3 linked regions of the Neodiprion lecontei genome follow. The protein of the gene in region 1 binds, or shares a complex with, the protein of each later gene. Links are inferred from orthologs where the notes say so. Each region holds a gene or a part of one and is shown on either strand. Other genes may lie near its edges. The genes, in order: CCR4-NOT transcription complex subunit 11, CCR4-NOT transcription complex subunit 9 and CCR4-NOT transcription complex subunit 10-B.

Evidence for each region.
Region 2: CCR4-NOT transcription complex subunit 11 (region 1) and CCR4-NOT transcription complex subunit 9 share a complex: the UniProt entries of both Homo sapiens proteins name them as parts of the CCR4-NOT complex. The link is inferred for Neodiprion lecontei from reciprocal best matches to the Homo sapiens genes CNOT11 and CNOT9.
Region 3: CCR4-NOT transcription complex subunit 11 (region 1) and CCR4-NOT transcription complex subunit 10-B share a complex: the UniProt entries of both Homo sapiens proteins name them as parts of the CCR4-NOT complex. The link is inferred for Neodiprion lecontei from reciprocal best matches to the Homo sapiens genes CNOT11 and CNOT10.

What each region holds. Positions count from the first base shown.
Region 1 is NC_060264.1:28,417,620-28,425,015, reverse strand, and holds CCR4-NOT transcription complex subunit 11, read left to right. Parts: upstream 1-1,770; 5' UTR 1,771-3,153; coding exon 3,154-4,521; 3' UTR 4,522-6,871; downstream 6,872-7,396. Other genes in the region: protein MON2 homolog, read right to left, coding at 46-228, 620-751, 1,153-1,275. UniProt on the Homo sapiens protein: Component of the CCR4-NOT complex which is one of the major cellular mRNA deadenylases and is linked to various cellular processes including bulk mRNA degradation, miRNA-mediated repression, translational repression during translational initiation and general transcription regulation.
Region 2 is NC_060263.1:38,618,800-38,625,099, reverse strand, and holds CCR4-NOT transcription complex subunit 9, read right to left. Parts: upstream 4,636-6,300; 5' UTR 4,617-4,635; intron 4,530-4,616; exon of another isoform or gene 3,829-4,529; 5' UTR 3,764-3,828; coding exon 3,437-3,763; intron 3,350-3,436; coding exon 2,955-3,349; intron 2,742-2,954; exon of another isoform or gene 2,740-2,741; coding exon 2,538-2,739; 3' UTR 605-2,537; downstream 1-604. Other genes in the region: sodium-coupled monocarboxylate transporter 1, read left to right, coding at 1-157, 279-326. UniProt on the Homo sapiens protein: Component of the CCR4-NOT complex which is one of the major cellular mRNA deadenylases and is linked to various cellular processes including bulk mRNA degradation, miRNA-mediated repression, translational repression during translational initiation and general transcription regulation.
Region 3 is NC_060264.1:4,199,459-4,205,875, reverse strand, and holds CCR4-NOT transcription complex subunit 10-B, read right to left. Parts: upstream 4,382-6,417; 5' UTR 4,242-4,381; exon of another isoform or gene 4,101-4,241; intron 3,928-4,100; 5' UTR 3,889-3,927; coding exon 3,480-3,888; intron 3,286-3,479; coding exon 2,963-3,285; intron 2,725-2,962; coding exon 2,618-2,724; intron 2,478-2,617; coding exon 2,326-2,477; intron 2,234-2,325; coding exon 2,034-2,233; intron 1,967-2,033; coding exon 1,672-1,966; intron 1,555-1,671; coding exon 1,207-1,554; intron 1,115-1,206; coding exon 1,005-1,114; intron 889-1,004; coding exon 810-888; intron 718-809; coding exon 662-717; 3' UTR 539-661; downstream 1-538. Other genes in the region: josephin-2, read left to right, coding at 4,659-4,712, 4,809-5,023, 5,096-5,276, 5,375-5,608. UniProt on the Homo sapiens protein: Component of the CCR4-NOT complex which is one of the major cellular mRNA deadenylases and is linked to various cellular processes including bulk mRNA degradation, miRNA-mediated repression, translational repression during translational initiation and general transcription regulation.

The sequences.
Region 1 (7,396 bases):
GATTGAGAGTTTAGAAGATTTCTTCAAATGAAACTGAGTAATTACCCTGGCCAGAGTCTCTCCGTGAACGACAGTGTTACTCGTTAGTAGCAGGGTAACACTTTGAAGAATTTTCACTTCCTCTGTACCAGATTCCATCAGCATCCATAGAGCATCTGTAATGTATCGGGCTCCTTTTGTGTCCACCGCTTGCTGTGTTATGAGCCTTTGCATCATGCCTAAGCAAAACTGAAATAAAAACAGGATAAATTAAAAGTTAACTTCATAATCTATAAGTTGGATAATTGGTTTTCAGTGAATTTTTCAGTACATATTCTTCCATAATTCTACGATTTTGTGCCAAAGTTTATCTAATTTTTGAGATTTCTAGTACACCCATTATTTTTGTTCCTTGTCCGTTGATTCATACTTTAAGTCAACTTGATAAGAATTGATAAAGTAGATAGTCTAAGTCATATTGAACAATATGTTAAAATTAAAAAACCTCTGTTCATGCTGCTGAAACGAAATCACAAAAGACTAATCACAAACTAACAATTTGAATAAACGTTTCAACTTATAAGCTAGCCATTACATTTTTTCCTGTAAGACTAACACCAGCAGTAATGCTTTTTGATACCTTTATAATCTTTACATCTCGACTTTCGCATCCTTGTACCAAAGGATATAATATTTGATTGACAATGTAGTATATCGGTGTTCCAGGACTATTGGCAGCTGTCCGTAACTTAGATATTCCTTCTTCGCAGGACTGTGAAACAAAAGAAATATTTAAAAATTTCACATCAAGGCAGATGGAATTGTACAATCGTCAATTATTCGATAAGGTAGGCAAACAGAAATAATTTCAGAAGCGAGCTTTTCGTGGTTAACAAAGTTTGAAAACAAATTACTGAGACCGTATTAGAACGTTTTGACAGCTGTCAAAATGTTCTGAGTCAAGACTTGTTTGTTCTTCAGCAACAGTAAAGCAAGAAGACATGATGCGCGAACAATAATTGTTGTAAGTTATGTTGAAGTCGCAAACAGGCTATAGGTCATTATCAAAAGAATGCTTATGATCGAGCAGATAATAACATCCTGACCTAACCTAAAATGAGAATAATCAATTAAATGGTGAATAATTGATGGCGTATGGATAAGATACGATACCTCTCTAATCTGTGGATACTTTTTTTTAGTTTCCGATGACAGAACCTTTAAATCAGATTGCAAAGACTCAAGGAATTTGGCAACGTTCTCCTGGCCGCCTCCGACGGCTGTATTTACCATCATCTTGTTGATTACAGTAATTTGTGATAAAATCGAGGTGGAGCCTTCGGTGAGGCGGATATTATTCTTTCATGACAGTTAAACTTCGATGAATTTCACTCGCACTTAACAGTTTCCTTGCAGCGAACGTCAGAAAGCGTAATCACAGATGCCGCATTAACAGATGAGCTGGCATTCTGATCGCTCCGTTTATCAGAAATGACAACCACGAAGTTATTGCTAGTTCGTGATGACAACCAGTCAGCTAACCAACCATCAGCCAACCACCGTTTCGTATAGGCTCGCCCTTTTCGTATCACCCCCACTCTACACCATCTCGGCCGAGTTCGAATAACACCAAGGGTATGTTCCGATATACACTGCGAGCACTGTTCAGTGCTCTTACTGGGGAGAAAATCGTTCCGACAGTATACAGTCGCAGTATCATAGGGAAATATATGACGTCATAAATCGTCGCCATTTTTCTACTGTGAACACTGGTGCTTTCGGGGTAAGGTGCTCTCAGTGCTTTGATCACGTGATCAACAGCGTTCAGAAATTTAACAGCTTCCACTATTGATAATTATTATTATTGAATATTGTCATTTAAAAATATCGGCCGTTAAAAACAAAAATGGAAAATTTGAATAAATTGTTTTTATTGCAATGTGAAACAAATATTATGTATGAAATGAAAGTAACGCCAAAAAATGTCGATCACAGTATACTGTACTGCGTTCCGTTTTAAGCAGTAACCAGTATAGCTAACTATACAGGAACGGCTTCGCAGTATACTAAATTGACGACACACCTTACAGTGCTCGCAGTGTATATCGGAACATACCCCAAGTCCGCAATTTGCGATCTAATCCTAAAATTCTACGAGCGACCTCGAGAAATTTTCAAATTCAGGTGGCAATAAAAAAAAAAAAAAACTACACGAAACCTACTGTACCCATTTTTACCAATTTTACCCGACATCCCGAAGTGATTCTACACTACCATGGCCCCTAATAAAATTCACTCAACTGCAGAGAGGCTGAGTATAATGACCTAAAAATACCTACTTTTGGCGTGACGATTATAATCCAAGTAACTCTACAGACCACGATGATGAAAACAATTATCTTCTATGCTGGCGCACAGGAGTTAAAATTTAATTAAGTAAATGATGAAGTATCGCTTTCGGTTTACCGTCAAAATTGATGAATAATGAATGAATTTTGTTAACTCCGTCTTGATACGAATACTCAAAGTAGCAAAACATTGGCGATTGATCAGTTTTCGAGCTTTTCAAGTATAGTCTACAAAATTTGAAAACACTCTCGATCATTTGAAGTAAAATATGATGGATTTTATGAAATAATAAATGCAAAAACGAAAAATGATCGAAGCCAATATGCAACTTTGCAAAGCTTCTCGATTTATCCGCCAAACATTGGATGACATCACGTGGTACAGGATCCGTAAAATATTGACGCCTCATTTTTCTTCCCAATTACTTTGTCCGTGACAACTTGAAAAAAAATGTTTTGCTGAGAGGTTAAGAAACATTGAAGTGACTTCAAGTAATTGAATAAATATGTAAATATTGTAGATTTAAAGTGCATAATCCTTCTAATATCTAATATGTGTAAAATTCTGGGGCTCACTCATTTCCATCAGTAGGAATCTTCGGCAAAGAAAATTTTTTCCCACCGAAACTGAAGGTTACCGTAATAACAACAACATAGTCATTCAAATTGAATTTGCCTAGAAGTGTGTTTCGAAACCCTTCGAAGCTGTACGAAACCTTTGGCGATAAGTATTGTAATTGATTGGTGGATGAAATCTCGACGCTTTCACCGAATATTGACTCCAAAAAACTCTGTACAAACTCATCGATAAAGTCCGCAATTCGTCATGTCTGCAACACCAAAGCAATTATCAAACCTGCTTGATATTCTGGACGAGGAGAACCTGGATACCAGTTTAGAATCACTATCTAATCAGTTACACCAGGCGTTTGCAAAGGAGGATCTCTTCAAAGTCGGAACAACCCTGTTGCTGCTTCTTCAGCACATCGATCTCCTGCCAAACAATGTTCAGCGAATAATGGCGCTCGCTCTTCTCTACGACCTTTATCGAGGCGAGCAACTGGCGTCTACGCCGTTTGCCACAGTGTTCATCCAGGTATTGAAGCCCTCGGATGAGAGTGCTTCAGGTTCGGTGTCTCGGCCAAACTTCTCTGGACACATCCCGGCGCTCTCCAGATGCGAGAAGAACCTGCTTAGCCACCTACTCGGCTATGGAGCCAAAGAGACGATGAAAAAAACAGCGAGACAAATCATAGAAGAGATGTCTCACTCGGCTACTCCTCTCGTCGATCTCACTAGTCTGCAGCTTCAACTAGCCGAAAGGCTGTCGGAACTACCAAGTGTAAGCAAATGTGGAAATCCAGTAATCCTCCCGGATATGGACCGCTCGAAAGCTGGCGAGATAGACAAGACAGTTGGCAGAGCTATAGCGGAGAGTCTTGTGATCGGCGAGCCACCTCTTTGTAGCCAAAGCTATCGGCCAGAATTCCTGAGGCTCACACCACCGTTGTATCACTCCGCAGATGAACTTGCATGGATGAACGTTGAGGAGCCGAGCCAGTTCACGGTTGAGTACGATTCTTCCATGTGTGTGTCTAATTGTGCAGGGGCCGAGGCACGCAGACTGATGGGCAGAGCGTATAAGAGTGCCTTGACGCTCCAGCAGCAACAGCACTTGCTTATGGAGCTAGACGCTGACCCAAAACTCGTTTACCACATCGGTTTGACCCCCGTAAAGCTTCCGGACTTGGTTGAAAACAATCCGCTAATAGCTATTGAAGTCCTGCTGAAGCTTATGCAGTCCAGCCAAATAACAGAGTACTTCAGCGTGCTGGTTAATATGGAGATGTCCTTGCATTCGATGGAAGTTGTGAATAGATTGACAACCACAGTCGATCTACCAACAGAGTTTGTTCACCTTTACATCAGTAATTGCATATCGACTTGCGAAACCATCAAAGATCGATATATGCAAAATCGTTTAGTCCGTCTGGTTTGCGTGTTCCTTCAGTCTCTAATCAGAAACAAGATAATCAATGTTCAAGAACTTTTCATCGAAGTACAAGCCTTTTGCATCGAATTTAGCAGGATTAGAGAAGCTGCTGCGCTCTTCCGGCTGCTTAAACAACTTGAATCTGGTGATATCGGTGGGCTCAATACCCCGCCGGCTAAGAGTAAGATCGATCCTTGCTGAAAAGAGTTATTGCAAGTAATGGAAAACTTGGATTGTAATAAATAGTTAAGAAATGGATCATCGTGGTATTGCAATTGGAAAGTTGAGATGCTTCAGTTGGTATACTCTTCATGGAAATATTGAACCAAATCTTCTGGGCCGCATGGATTCGAATTTTTTTTTAACATTCAATAATAATAAGTATTGACTGATCAGGAAATATTCTGTTACTCAATCGATTTTTTAGCAGAAGAACTAGGTAATGAGTTTTTTTTTTTTTTTTCAAGTCAACTTTGTTTAAATTTGACAATATTATTATTTTTTTTCTTTTTTTTTTTACAAGTATACGTATAATAAGTTCTGTTTTATACAAATTCATCAAATCAATAATTTTGAACTCTTTGTTCCATAATTAATATTTCTGTAAAACGTTTACTTACGTTAATACACAATCTTAGAATTGGGCAAGGACTTCATTCGAAAGTGTAATATCAATAAAATATATACTTTACAGTTAACTAGTTTCTCCTGGCTGTTATTAACCCGTGCAGATATATTTATATACGTATATGATAGATGAAATATTATGGTTAAACAGTTTTAGGAAATAATTTCCAATGATAAATTGACTCTTTAAATTATCGCACACAACGAATCACCTATAAAGTGATTAGAACAAGTCCTGCAATAAATTTAAAACTTATATAAATCCCGTATTTATTCATAGGTAGAAACGAAAATTTAGTCTACAAAATTCAGTTTTTGCAACAAAGTAATACGTCAATGTTATATTTCAACAATTCAAGAAACCATCATGTGTTAATCACCAATGATAGTCTGAACATATTGCGAATAATGATTTTATCAGTAGTTGATCGACTATTGATTTCTCAAGTGAATTCATAAATAATTGAATATAAATATTCGTGCCGTCAATTTTCTGTATTGTTATATTAAATATATTTATATGACATAGGCATAACTGAAGCCATAAATGTGTCTTTTTACAGGCAATACACATAAAGTACGGATCGTATGGCTACAGAAAATACAGGTCTTGTTTCAAGCTGGTCGATTTTCTAATAAGCTTACGACACTGCTTTATATTTCATATACTTTCTATACCTATACTATACTTTCAACCTATAGTATGATATTTTATGATACATGATTCGAGTCGTCCTCAGACGTGTATCTTTTAAATAAAGATTGTTATTATTATACACAACATTTTTAAAAATTATCTTCCAATTCCAATCATTTATATTAGCTCAGTGTTACTTTAATTACTATTGTTACAATCATTGTCAACGTCATCATCATCATCATAATGATTATTATTATTATTATTGTTATTATTATTATTGTTATTATTATTACTACTACTACTACTATAATATATACACGTAGAATATAATTTGACTTTTAAAGAGAAAATTAGTTGTACTCTAATTCATGTATAGGTATAACATTACATTAAGTGTTACGAGACCGCAAATGGACTTTAAAATTTTTATTAGAAACCAAACTTGGTCAGACTGGATTTGATCCATTTTATTCATGTGACATATCTGTTGTTTTCTATGACCGTAAACGTAAAACCGTTACACCTTTAAATTGTTATGCGAATTTGTACAATATTCTATACTTTATCCTGATGCAATCTCAAGCGGACGCAAAAGCTTGTGTAAATAGATCGTGTGAAAAGAAATCAAAAAGAGAATAATCGTATTCACGTATGAAGAGGAGAATTAAAAAAAGCTGTCGGTGCCATTTATTTATTCCATTTTATTTTTAATATTTTTTTTAATTTAAAAATTTTACTTTTAAATTCCCAATGATAAATAACTATGCAGTAATTTTACAGTTGCAGGCACTTGCACATTTTTTGATTTCTCCTCTTCGTAAGTGCAACTAACAACAATTTCAGAATTTTTCATCGCTCTGGTTAGGTGTAAATCAATCAAATTTCGATTGAACATCTAACACAACAATATCTCACAATCTTCAACTAATTTTCAATCATTCAATCAACGAAAGGTATCAACAAGTACCTTTAATTTATGTACAAAAATCCTTAATCACTATGATGATATCTTGAGAAGTATTTGATCACTTCATCGATTCAATTTATCTCAGATGCAACAATGCGGGTCAGTCGGAATCTCTTAGCCGTTACCTCGCACATTATAAAATTGCGAAAGTACAACTACGGATGAGATTTTAAATCTTATGGTCCCTGATCGCTCAGCAAAGATGCCTCTATCAGGTTAATATAAATGGTTCTACTCGTAAATTTTGAGTTAAAAAAACAGAGAACTAAACATATGGAATTCATAATTTATTGTTAGTCTTTTCAAAAATATCAAATTAAAAAAAAAAAAAAATTAACTCTAATTACAACGCCTACCGATATATGAGGTTAAAGTTAGTACGTTGCCTTGATAAAACGTTAGGAAGAAAAATCATCACTTTGCAATTTTAGAATGATTTTGAAAGAGTTGAGTTTTAAAAATATGAAAACGTTTCTGCCTCGTTACGATTTACTCAATTTCGGACGAAATTAAAGTTGCGAAAAAACTATTCTTCTTAAACATTCATTATAAAATTAACGTTACTGATTTCAACCTCATCACAATATTAGGAAATTATAGGCTGGTGATAGAACAAACTTTTCTGAATAACTAGAGACCAAAGATGCCAAAGTTGTGCAGCTACGATCTATTTCCTAAACGGAACCCAACAATAACGTTCAATCCTTCTGAAATTTAAGCTAACTATGTCTAATATTCAACACCATTATTTTTCTTCTTCGTCTTTGTACTTTTCTACAATGCGGCAATGTCTTTAAGTCGTTTTCCTTTCTTGACTGTTGTTTGCATTTTCAATCCGCTCT
Region 2 (6,300 bases), on another chromosome or scaffold:
GTCGTACTTGTGGTATACCTGGGTTGGATTTTTGGTCGCTATTTTGGTCGGGCTACTTGTCTCTTGGATTACAGGCCCGAACAAATACAGAGTTGAGGACAAGAATTTGTACACACCCGTTATACATAAACTTTTGACAAGAGGTTCAGGTCCCACGGTAAATAATTATTGTATGCCTAAGAACAAAACCCATCCAAGAAATAATTATTCGTGGAAATGCGTAAACAAGATTTACAGTGTACAAGGATTAAATTTGGTTTTCTCGTTTTACGTTTCAGAATATGACGGAACTCGCAAAAGTGAATCAAGTAGCCGAGACGAGTTGATAATTATGTAATAATTAGTAACACATTCCGATATAAGTAACGAATAATTAAATTGTCGAATAAATTACCGCGTTTTACTATACGATCTAACATGTAAAACGTTTATTTTTTTATAGTCATTTTCATTTTATTATCAATAGTTTTTTGCGATATACTGTAGTATGTAATATATAAATATTATGTACGTATATATAATATATATATATAGACTTTTTCCATATGATAGGAATTTTTGGACAGGATAGGATATGTATGATGATAATATTAGCGAGCCGATATAATTAAGAAAATCGTATAATTAATTGCAGACATATACATATAATATTTGAATCTGAAAATTTTAACCAATCAATCAACTGTATATGCACAAACATAGACATCGATATGTATAATGCACGCCAATCACCAAGAGCAGCATTAATCTTACATCAACTTAATATTATATATATCTCTTACTAGCTGCAGCATGACTTTCTCACGTAATATCTTTATACACAAGTATACATTGCTTTGATAACAATTATTGTTATTATATATAGTTAGACTAGTGATATATATTTATATATAGATTCATTAAAGTCAATAAACCTATTGAATATTATTTCATCTTTGCGTTGTTTTTCCTTTTCTAGGAGAAAATCAGAAGGAAGAACAAGAAAGAAATTGGTTAAAATGTCAATTTTGGCTATCTCGGCGCACCCAAGAGTACACAGAGCATGCAAGGTACATATTTTATGCTTATAATCATACTTACATAATATATATATATATATATACATGTTGAACGAATTTTACAATTTACTATACGTGGAAATTTGCACACACTGTTGTAAACGCTGGCATAGTCCCGTGAATAATTTGTAACTTCCTTTCAATAATTATACCAGCATATTAATATCTGCATTATGGGCGTGCACCGGGTTCTAAAAATAATAACTATCGTAATTATAATGATGCGATGCGATTTAGGAGATTTTTATTATGCATTTGAAAGAACCGCAACTATACAATTAATTACCCCTCCTCATCCGATCTAATTCGCAGTTCTGCAATACTCTTCTTTCAAATAATATAAACACATGAAATTGAGACCATCGCTAATTAATACAAAGTGTTTTACAGCTAAATGAATGAAATTATTGTAATAATAAATTGTGCGCTTAAGTAAGATACACAGGTAATTTTCTTTAAGTAAGATCTTAATGTAATAATGAAGTAACGTGAGCTATAACGATGAAATACTCTTTTTAATCTAAGAGATAACCCTGAGCACTGGCTACTATTCAATATTTTAAAATAAGAATATTTGTAATTTTTGTTATTGTGAACAATTTCGGTAAGTAAATCAAAAGTGTTCAATTCCATTGTATGTTTTTTTGATTATATTTTTTTTTTTATACATGTATAGAGAGACATATAAAATAATATGAATGTAAAGAAACCTCGCAAATAATATCCTCACGGTAGAATTTGTATAACAAGGAAAAATCGCCGCTGCTGCCAATCACAGAACTCAAAACTAGATACGCAAATTTCCCGATGTTAAAAATTATCTTGCGATGCGAAAGCTTACCTCAAACTCAATACAATCAATGAATTCATTGAAATTATTCATAACATGCTGTTTCTCAAGAGCGTGTGAACATAAATTTAATGTACAAATATTTCATGTCTGAACGCATTTATAGCGGAATTGTTTTAAACACGGGCATCCGACAGTGATGTTGGCATACTTCGAAGTGGCTGCACAATTTTTGAAAACTTTAGGAACATGATTAAAAAAAAAGAAAAGAAAAAAAAATTATGACAAAGTAATAAACGACTATATTCAGAATGGTACCAGTCATTATTCAATAATCATACCAGTAATTTCTTCATATTTTTACATTACCGATCACTGTTGCTAGAAAACAATTGTCTTTCTTTTCATTGTTTTTTTCTTTATTTACTTCACTATTGTCTTGTCAAATTTTAATAATCTTGCCAACTAAATCCTTACAACGGAGAATCGATCCATTTTTCTTTTTGGCCAAAATATTTCCCTCACGCGGCAGTGTGAAGTTGTTATTTTCACTAAATAAGAAAAATAAGTTTATAACTTTCTTACCCTATATAGTATCTTCACTGCTTTCTCTTATCAAGTGGCACTTAATTCAACAGTCATTACTAAAATATCATTTCTACCTCACGATAGGAAAATTATTAATCAGTCTATGATGTCAGGGGTGACATGCCGATCGTCCTGGGATCTGGTTGCCCTGGCTGATTTTGAGGCCCTGGCTGAGGTCCAGTTTCCAGGTTCTTAAGTAACTGATTCAGCCAGTGGGTAGTAGATTTGTCTTCTTGTAAGCAGGTCGCAAAAGTATTATCTCTGAGTTGATCTGGTAAGCATTGCCTTAACGCCAGAAGTGCTCTGTAAAAAAATTAACATAAAAACACCTCAGAGCCATAAGAAATTCCAAACCAATCGTAATCCTTCCACATAACAATCTTTCGTCAAACCAGTTTATAATTGAAACAGTTGAAAAACAAAGCAAAGTACTACTTGTCTTTGAATTTAAAACTCTATAACTCGATCTTGAAAATAAGAATCAAGGCTGATAAACTTGCGAATCTATAAATACGAACCTGGGATTGTCCGATAGCCTCAAGTAACACCTAACAACGTGTTTGAGGAGTCTGGCGGAGGGATCTTTGGCCAAGGACAGAACCATTTTTCCCAGGATCATAGCGACGTGGCTGAATCTGTCGTAAGTTTGACATATATACGAAAGTCCGCTATCGTCGAGCAGTATTTTCTGGAGTATAAACGTAGCGACTGTTTTACTCAGTTCAGAACTACTTTCCATGATCCTCAAACAGAGCGGTATTATTTCGGTGGTGAGTAGAAACGTGATTACTTCTTGCTCATCAGTTTTAACCAGCGCTCCGATCACTCCAAGGCTGGTAAGTCTCAGGTACTCAAAGGGTCGCGTCTTGCTCGTGGTATGCAAGAACGGATAAAGGAACAAAGGTACGTGAGCCTAGGAAATGAAAAGAAATAAACCGTTATTAGGACGTTACAGGAATGTTAGCGAACCGAAGACTGGCTTCCGAGCAATTTCTATCACCTGCAGAAAAGCAGATCTCGTCTCAGGGTGACTAGCGACGCATTGAAGGAGAGCGAGAGCATTGCAGACTCTGTTGCTTTGATAGGCAGTAAGCGTAGCTGGGTTGATGGCAGGGTATATGTTGATAATCTCCTGGAGCAGTGCAGCAGTCGTGCCAAACGAGTGCCATAGCATGGGGGCGAGGTCCGGAACAACTTCGCGCTTCTTGCTCAGCTCGAACAAGGCGTTCTCCCGTGTCTCAGGATTAGACAATTCGATAATCCACGTGTATACCTTGTCGGCGTCGACGGTTGCCTGCAGGGCAGCCGGACTCTGCTGAGAACTCATTGCGACGAGATTCGTTCCTGGACTTATTCAGCTTGTAGAAAACACTGAGGAGGTGAAGATCGGAGCTGACCAAAATGGAATCTGGGTTATTTTATCTTCGATACAATCGTGCGATAGAAGAAATGACGAAGGTCTAATTGAGCACGTTTAAAATGAGCAATTCGAGATCAGATGACGCGCCGAATGTTGTCACAACCGTTGTCTGTTTACTTTGAAAGACCACATTTTACGCGGAGATCATCGGTTCATCGAGACATCTCGAACCAAGTGTTATCTTTGATTATACGTTACCGCTGTGGCCTCGGCATATGTCGGTAATACGGCCAGCTTTAAAAGGGACGCTAAGAGTTCGGGGAGCGTTTTTTGAGCGCAGATCAAACCACCTCCGTCGAACAGTAGCGAGGATTCTCGGATATCTGATCCGCGCGTTTCTGCTCTGCCGCGGAGATTTTGAGGTTAGGATTTCCAAACGGACAGCGGGCGGTGAATTACGCGTAAATTCCGGTGTCCATATTTGGCTCACACTGAAGCGATAAGAACTGTTCAGACGTCGCCGAAATACTCGCGTAAAAGGTGGGAAATTGTTCCTCTTCAAATTATATACTTTTAACTCTCAACCCGCACCGAATATACCGTTTATTTACGACGCAATCAACGCAACGCTGTCCAAAAATAACTCTAGTAGCTCGTCGGCACTCGTCGGCAGCGTTACATATGCATCTACGTGCGAGCATGTGTGTGTGCATTGCGTGAAATTAAGTCAGCTTTGGGCCACCAGGTGTTCCGGGCATGCTGGGTTGTCTCCGACGAAGCGCGTTGCGCTTGGTGGTCATTCCTTACATAAGCTACTTACAGAGAAGAGCTTCGTAAAGCCACAATCGCATTTTTCGTTGATCCAATTTATGAGCATCCTCTGACTCAAAATAGGTTTTGACATTTCGTTGTCGACATAACTGCGTTGACGAAAGTATTTGAAGACAACTGTTACCTCTGTGCAGATTTCGTAACAAGTACTCGGATGGTAAGTCAGCGTGGTGAGCCTGCGGCCGTAAGGAGCCCCGTCAGCGATCCGCCAACTTCTTCATCGGCGGGCGCCGTTTGACACGCAACTCCATAAGCGCACTAAACCCCAGTAAGGTATTATGTAACAGGTTTTAATTAACGAACATTGAAACCTTTGAGTAAGTACTGATTCAGCCCGTCAATGGAAATTTTACATACTCGTAGGTGATAGAAAATATCTTGCAGTGAATTTCGAGATTACAAAGTTCGTCAATCGATTGTAATACTGCGGTAATATCATTTGTTAATTAATGTTGGCGACGTTCATCTTCGACCACTACAGTGGCACTTCTCTTTTATAAATATGCTTTGCATTACCCACTGCTTTCATGATGTTATCGACATGCGCTTACCGACCACGGACCTCAAGACTTAATTCCACAAATCTATTTCGTGCCAGATGTCGCTACGAAAACAGAGTAGTGAAAACACCAACGTGGACTCGTTCAGACTCCTCTCTGCCGCTGATTCTGAATCAGGGCTGTTGATTTTCACTTCACTAGCTGATATTTCACCGCACATTTTATACTGCGATATAAAAAATCACTGGGGAACTGCCTCCGTCTCAGGCCTCAAAGTTCTCCCTGATTTCACATCACCCTCGCGTTTAATTCCCTGCTTAGAACTACTAATTGTAGATCAATGCTCTTTTCAATTATGAGGACTAGCTCTCTAAATGTTGTATAGAATCAATCAGGAATTATTTGATTTTCAAATTTTTTAAGATCAAGATTCGATTCGATCAATTTCACTTCACTTCCTCCACTCCTTCGGTTATTTGGAAGTATCCGATGATGATCGGCTACCCTGTGAATTTGAGACGGATCGGTTCGACGGTCTTCGAGATATCCTGGTAGAGAGTTTGAAAAAACCGGTTTCAACAAAAACTGCTCTGAAGCTTTACAAGGAGCGTACGTCGCGGTTCATTGACATGCTAATCGAAAACTAATTACCGCGGCAGGTATTATGCAATTAAGTACACATACAATTTCGGATAAAGTTAAAATTACAGCTGATTTTGTACTTTCGTGAGAAACCCGTTAACGAAAATAAACGAACCGAGCAACAAATTCTACCCGTATTTCCGACCACAGAATCGTAATTGTACGATTATGAATTGTCATATTGTGTAAATTCTTGAATAATCCGCAAAGCCGAGACGGTTATGCATGCAACATCGGAGGCCCGCAAGGCCGCTCAAGGATGCCGTCGAGGGTTCAAGGACGTTCGAAGACTCCTGACGTTATTACACGCATGAATGCGTGAAGGAGCACTGCAGCGGATACCCGAGCAGCGTTATAGAAACGGGGTAAAAATTTTCTCCGGTAGAATGGGAGCAAGAATAAAATAATAGTTAAACCGAACGATCAACTTGTCTTTATTGTGTAATTATCTACAGCCGCATGAGCAAACCCCGCATACGGCATGAAATCGTCGAGTATAACAACCATGATTTCTACACCAAAACTGAAAGT
Region 3 (6,417 bases), about 24 Mb from region 1:
GAAAATCCAGACCAACTCTAGACTGCTTCTTCCTCTCACCAGCGCGTCCATACACAGAATCTTTCGGCTCTCGACCGTCGCTTCTGCGATCTCCCGATGCACTGATGCCGTTTCTCAAGCCGCAGCTCTGCGTAATACATACACACATACGTCGTATTCAATCATTACGTCTGATCTCTATACTAACTTACCGACCGGGAATAACTCCGAGCTCCTGATTGGCTCTGACTGGCAACTGCATCGCGGGTTTAACGGAAACTGTAACATACGCATGTACCAGGGAGTCTTGTTCATTTGTCATTATTTCGTTTTAAAGCGGGAAGTCGATGCGATGTCCAAAAGGTTTTGAATAAGGAAAAGATATTGTTTTTATAAAGGTTTAGTTTCTTTAAAGTTGGCTATAATAATTCGATAATTGAACTACTATCGTATCTATATCGTAAATATAGAGGTAACACACTTGATTGTAATCAACGTGTATAATTGGAAAATTTGATTGTTAATTTACATGTATAATGTATGCATGTGTGTATATACATAATAGTTAAGCTGTATATTTATTGTATAATATAAATATTACAAAGAACGATTTCGCCCTTGTGCAGGTAATCATCGTTGAATTTGATCGATCCCCGTCAGTCTATTATTCAATTTTACAAATTTATTGATATTGCGGACAATGCTGCTTTATTATTGATTTTGACACGTGCGCATTGCCTGAAAGCAGAAGATATAAAATTATTTCATTAATTTTCATCAGAATCTAACAAAGTAACAAACTTAAACAAAGATGAGCATAGATCGCTTACCTAATTGCAATTCTATGTATAATGCCAACATTATAACATGTATTGGAACGTCGCAATTAGGACCCTTAGAAATCCACACCTGGGATAGAGAAGAATAAATATACATATGCGAATAAATGAAAAAACGGAATACAATTATTACAATTCAGTACATTGATGAGCGGAGACGAATAAAACAACTCTTTGGTAGATTACCTGCTTTAAAGTTTCTCCAGATTTATCTAGTTCGCCTCGAATTGCGTAAGCTACTGCTAAGTTGTACTGAAGAACTGCTTTTCCTGTGGGAAGACTGTTGGGGTACCAACCTACAGAATAGAACAAACGGCATGAAACCGATAACTAAAAAATTTGATCAACATCCTAATCTGTTTGTTCGTTTCATTTCTTTTCTACTTACTTCTCACAGGTGTTACAAATGGTTCTTCGGATTTATCTTTATCCTTATCCAGAGTTTCGGGAATTGGTAGAAATGTATCTATATCTTGAATATTCTCAGGCTTTAGGTACTCAATGGCCTCGTTTATTTTATTCATGAGAATTAAGCTCTCGGCGGCATATAAATTTCCTAGCATTTTATACGCACCGGGCAATTTTGACATGCCGAGTAAAGCCTTTGCATGCTCTAGAGCTACGACGTTGTCACCAAGACACAAGGAGATGTAGGCACTGGCTGCAAGTACGCTTGCCTTTAAATTCAATGCCTCTAGCGCCGTCGCCTGCGACACCTGAGTCGCATGTTGGCCACCTTAAGGAATTTCAATTATAGTAGACTGCGTTATGCGAACTCTAACTTTTACAAATTTTTTTTGTTATGACAAATAAAACGTTTCAATTTTAGGACCTAATAAATTTCTTAATTCACCTAGTACATGAGACGGCTTCAGAGACATTGGAACAGATTGCGGACCAGCCATTGGTGTCGACGGCAAGTTCAACTCATTGTTGTCATTTGGTAGAAGAAATAAGGCATTTTTCAAACACAACATTCCAAATTCTAGAGTAGGTTGAGGTATGGCGCAAGACAATCCTTCTGTGTGGTATTTAGTGTCTTTTGATAAAGCTGATGCCAAAATAATTTTTCTGTATATGCCATTACCGACTACTTTTTGTACGAGATCCTTGCGACGTTTGTGTATATTAAAGTCAATTTCATTCGTCTGAAAAGATTTTGATAAATAAGTCTATAAACACTTACGATTATTAAAACAAATTGTAGACACTCACCGGCTTATGACTATATATACAGCATTCGGCCATTCTCAGCCAGAGACGTGGACTGTTGTGCAGTTTTTGCGCGGATTCTGTGAAACATTCAAATGCCTGCGCTGCACGTCTTGCATGTAGTAGCGATACCCCCAAGCTGTACATTAATTCGTAATGCTTATTACCGCCAAGAGTATAAAGCGGTTGCGACAAAAACGGATCTGCGAATATTTATCAGAGTTTAGTTTTAAGTTGATGCTTTGGAAGACAAAAATTGAATGTTCAAAGTTATGAAAATGTTATTAGATTTTACCAGCATCTTTAACTTGGATGCTTTCAACCGCATTTTTGTTCTCTTGTAACGCTTTTTGTAAATAGTAACAAGCCAAGTTTGGTTTGCCCATCGCATGGTGCAGACAAGCCATATTGTTATAGTATAAAACTGCCGCCGATTCTCCGCTGCTTCTGTAAGCAGTAGATTGACAGTGTAAAATAATGTCAAACAAAAAAATAACTAGGTCTTCGAACAACCGATCAGATTGTCTTACAAGTTCCAGACATAGCCAAGATGGTACAAAAATATAGTTGATACATTGGCAGCTTACTTGTATTCCAGACCATCTGCAGATATGGAATTTAATATTTTGATAGCCTTTCTGTAATTCCCTCTCAGATATTCCAAATTTCCCTTCAGAAGTATAGATGAGACGTTCTAAAAACAACAAATCAAAAGCAAGCCTTGGTGCAAATTTTTCTACGATCAATATCCAGCACATTTTTTATGAAACAGGTGTATGACTTGTGTCAAATTTCACCGCTTTGCATGATACATCATAATTTTTCAAATACTACTTGAAGATTTAAGAAGTATAAGGTTCTTCATCAGGGCACGTTTATATTTCCTGTGAAAAACCTGGTTTCAAGTTTCACTGTTTCAAGATGAAACTTACAACAGGTGTGCCGGAAGCAACAAGAGCCTTCCACTCCTTCTTACACAACTTGAGCTGATGGGTCATGAGGTAGATCCTCGCCTTGTACTTTAACAATTTGATCCTAAATGCATCTGTTGCTGCGTCAACATTATCCGTCTTCTCTTTTTGCTCTTTGATAGGCTTTATAGCGTTCTCCTTGTCTGTCGGTGTGATCTTGGACGTATCCGTAGAGACAAATTGACTTTCAATATAATTTAACAGCGACAATGCTGCATCAGGTTGATTTGTAACGATGTGCAGCTTTATGAGTAACAGACAGACTTTATGCGCCAGACTCTCCTCTAGAATGGGCAAAATTTAACGATGTGAATAACAATGATGCTCAGAACTTTGTAAACACAAAAACTTGTCAAATGAACTGATCGTAATTAAGACAGTGACGAAATCAGCAACTAATTTAATAAAGAACATTAGTGCAAAAAGGAATGTCTGTAAGGAGCCTGCAGAAGGACGAGCTAATTTGTAAATTGCTCACCCATCGGCTCGACGAATGTGAACAGCTTGTTGACTACTTTAAGAGCCAAGTCATACTGTTTGGTGTGAAAAAGAAGAACAGCCTGATTGTATCGCATGACGCATCTTTCGACATCGTCAACAGCTTCAGTTGTGTTGGCGGTACTTATTTGACCACATATAGCATTAAGACTTTTTCTAAACAGCTCAGTCTTTTTCAGATCACTTTTGTAATACTCGGTGACAACTTTGTTGTGCATTACTTTCAGATCTTTTGGTCTCAACGCCTCTAGTTTGTTCAAGTTGCTCAGACATCCTGAATAAGCGCTTTTCTGAAAATCGGTCAAAGCATTCTGAGCCAATTCACGTTCCTGGTCAGTTATCACCGAGGCTGTACTATCGTTATTGTGCGACTCCGAAATCTCTGTCATCGTTAAATTGATTGATATTGAATAAGTGGTAACAAATTCCTGGAATAAAAAGAGTTGATTAGTTAGTGTTCGAATAGATTTGTAAAACTTATCAAACTTTGATAATTCGTATTACACGTAAAATAACACAAGGAAAAGCAAATCAGGGTTTGACAGATGAGATCATTGTTAGGTTAGGTCAGGTTTGAGAGTGACTTTTTAACTAAACTCACTTAATAATCTATATCAATATGAAAAACTTTTAAACAAGGTCACACCTAGTTTAATCACAGATTTTTTCGGGTCAAATTCATGTAGTAATAAATATATCACGTGTTTTTGTTACAAAATCACGGTTAAGAGGTTATGAATACCAATAATTATTTCGTAAAAATCGTCAAACGCAGGTCAGGTGACTTCTGAAACAGTTCTATTGGAAATCCACAAGAGAGCGTTATTAAGTCATTTGGCGTTTGGCAATATCTTCCGGGACGCAAGTCAGTCAACATCTTGCATAATTCACTGCACTTTGTGGCCGTGATCGCATCTCTAACAACTGGTTGTACATAGTAGTGTTTTGTCCATCCTTTCTGTCAGACAAAACAGAATAGGTTATATTTATTAAATATTAAATTAAACAAGTTACGACTAACTACGATGTAGATGTAGTAACTTGAAAAACGCAGAGATCTTACTCACGTCCGCCTCTCATTTTCACCCTAATAAAGCAACGTTTTAGTAGAATTAATGACAATCATCAACTTGAGTAGTCGCATAATTATGTAGTAAGAATGGTGAAAAGTGTAGTTTTTGACATGAATGGATCTATATATCATGAACGTCAGGTAACATAATGAGAAATACACTTCATTTTACACTAATTTTTATCATCCCCACTTCCTGTCACACTGTATACAATATTCTGTTTACAAATGACACAGGTTAAAGAGCTCTGTGCTTTACACGCCTTGAACAATCTATTTCAAGAGCACGGATTTACGAAGCAAGAATTAGATCAAATATGTTATAGTCTGAGCCCCGACGTTTGGATAAATCCGCACAAATCTTTACTGGGACTTGGTAATTATGATATCAACGTTATCATGGCTGCTTTACAAAGAAAAGGTCATGAGGCTGTGTGGTTTGATAAACGCAGGTAATATTTTGCTTTTTCTCAACCTGATGCAATAGTCACTTTTGTTGATTTGAAGGCAATCAATTTTTTCAGAGATCCAAAATGTCTTTGTCTCGATAACATTGAAGGCTTTATATTAAACGTACCCACCGAGTATAAGCTAGGATTTGTTTTGCTACCACTAAAAAGACGGCACTGGGTCGCCTTGCGTAAAATAAGCGGCACTTTTTACAATCTTGATTCCAAACTTGAGACGCCACAACTCATCGGAAAGGTTAATATATACTTTTTTCTCCTAATTCATATTAGTGTTTAAGTTTACTACTCATTTTTTAACACTGCCCTGTACTGCATAGTATCTATACTTTACAGGATAATGAATTGATAGCATACTTAAAGGAGCAGATCGATAGCAAGGAAAAGGAATTGTTTCTTGTCGTGTCTAGAGAAGTGGACAGCAAGCAAGGGTGGCTTATAGACCCATATCTTCAATCAAAGATACAAAATGATACCGATCAAGACTCAATTCAATACATCGAAGACAGTTTGCCTTCAGATATTGATTTGCAGGACAATGCAACTGATAAACGGGACTGCCAAAGTTGATAAAATGTGAGATTTATTGTCACACACTTATCGACTATTGGTTGTTTTTAAATAGTTTTTTTGTCTTTCGATTAACTTTTTTTTCTTACTTCGAGATATACATTTTAGAGGCTCATAGAATGAGTAATTATGTCAGTAGAATAACATTTGTACAGACCACCCAAAGATTCAAATAATGAAACTGATTGAAGAATGTTGTTGTAATGTTTGAGAAAAATGTTGTGTCATAGCAACTGATTCAAGTATTTTCTGATGATAGTGATCACCATGATGTTTTAATGTAAGCTATTGCTGAAATGGGTAAAAAAAAAAGTGGGTGTCATTTCATCAACGGATTCTACTGTCGACCATGAATCAGAAAATAAGAAAAATTAAATTGATTAAAAAAAAAAAAAAAAAAAAAAAACAAAACTAATAAGAAGACATAGTTTTGTGTCATATATTGTGTACATATTGTGCAAGGAATTGTGCGTTACATACGATGAATACGTAAATAATATTGAGCTTTCTCAAAATGTTGTAGAAATTTGTTTTACAATTTTAACTACATACTTTGTTTTGTTATGTTTTGATTTTGCTAGCAAAACATCAACCCATATACAGGGTTACTCAGGACTTTCGTCCCATAGGCTATCAGTGTGTTTCTTGTGAAAATCTCTGACTAAAACATTTCTTACTTTTAATAGGAAATTTCTCGTTTGCGAATCACATCTGTCTGAAATTGGGCGATCGGGTAGCAGTATTCTGAGTGATCAGATACCCCTGGATCGGCAAATTTCGAACAGCTGTGATTCGCAAATGACAAATTT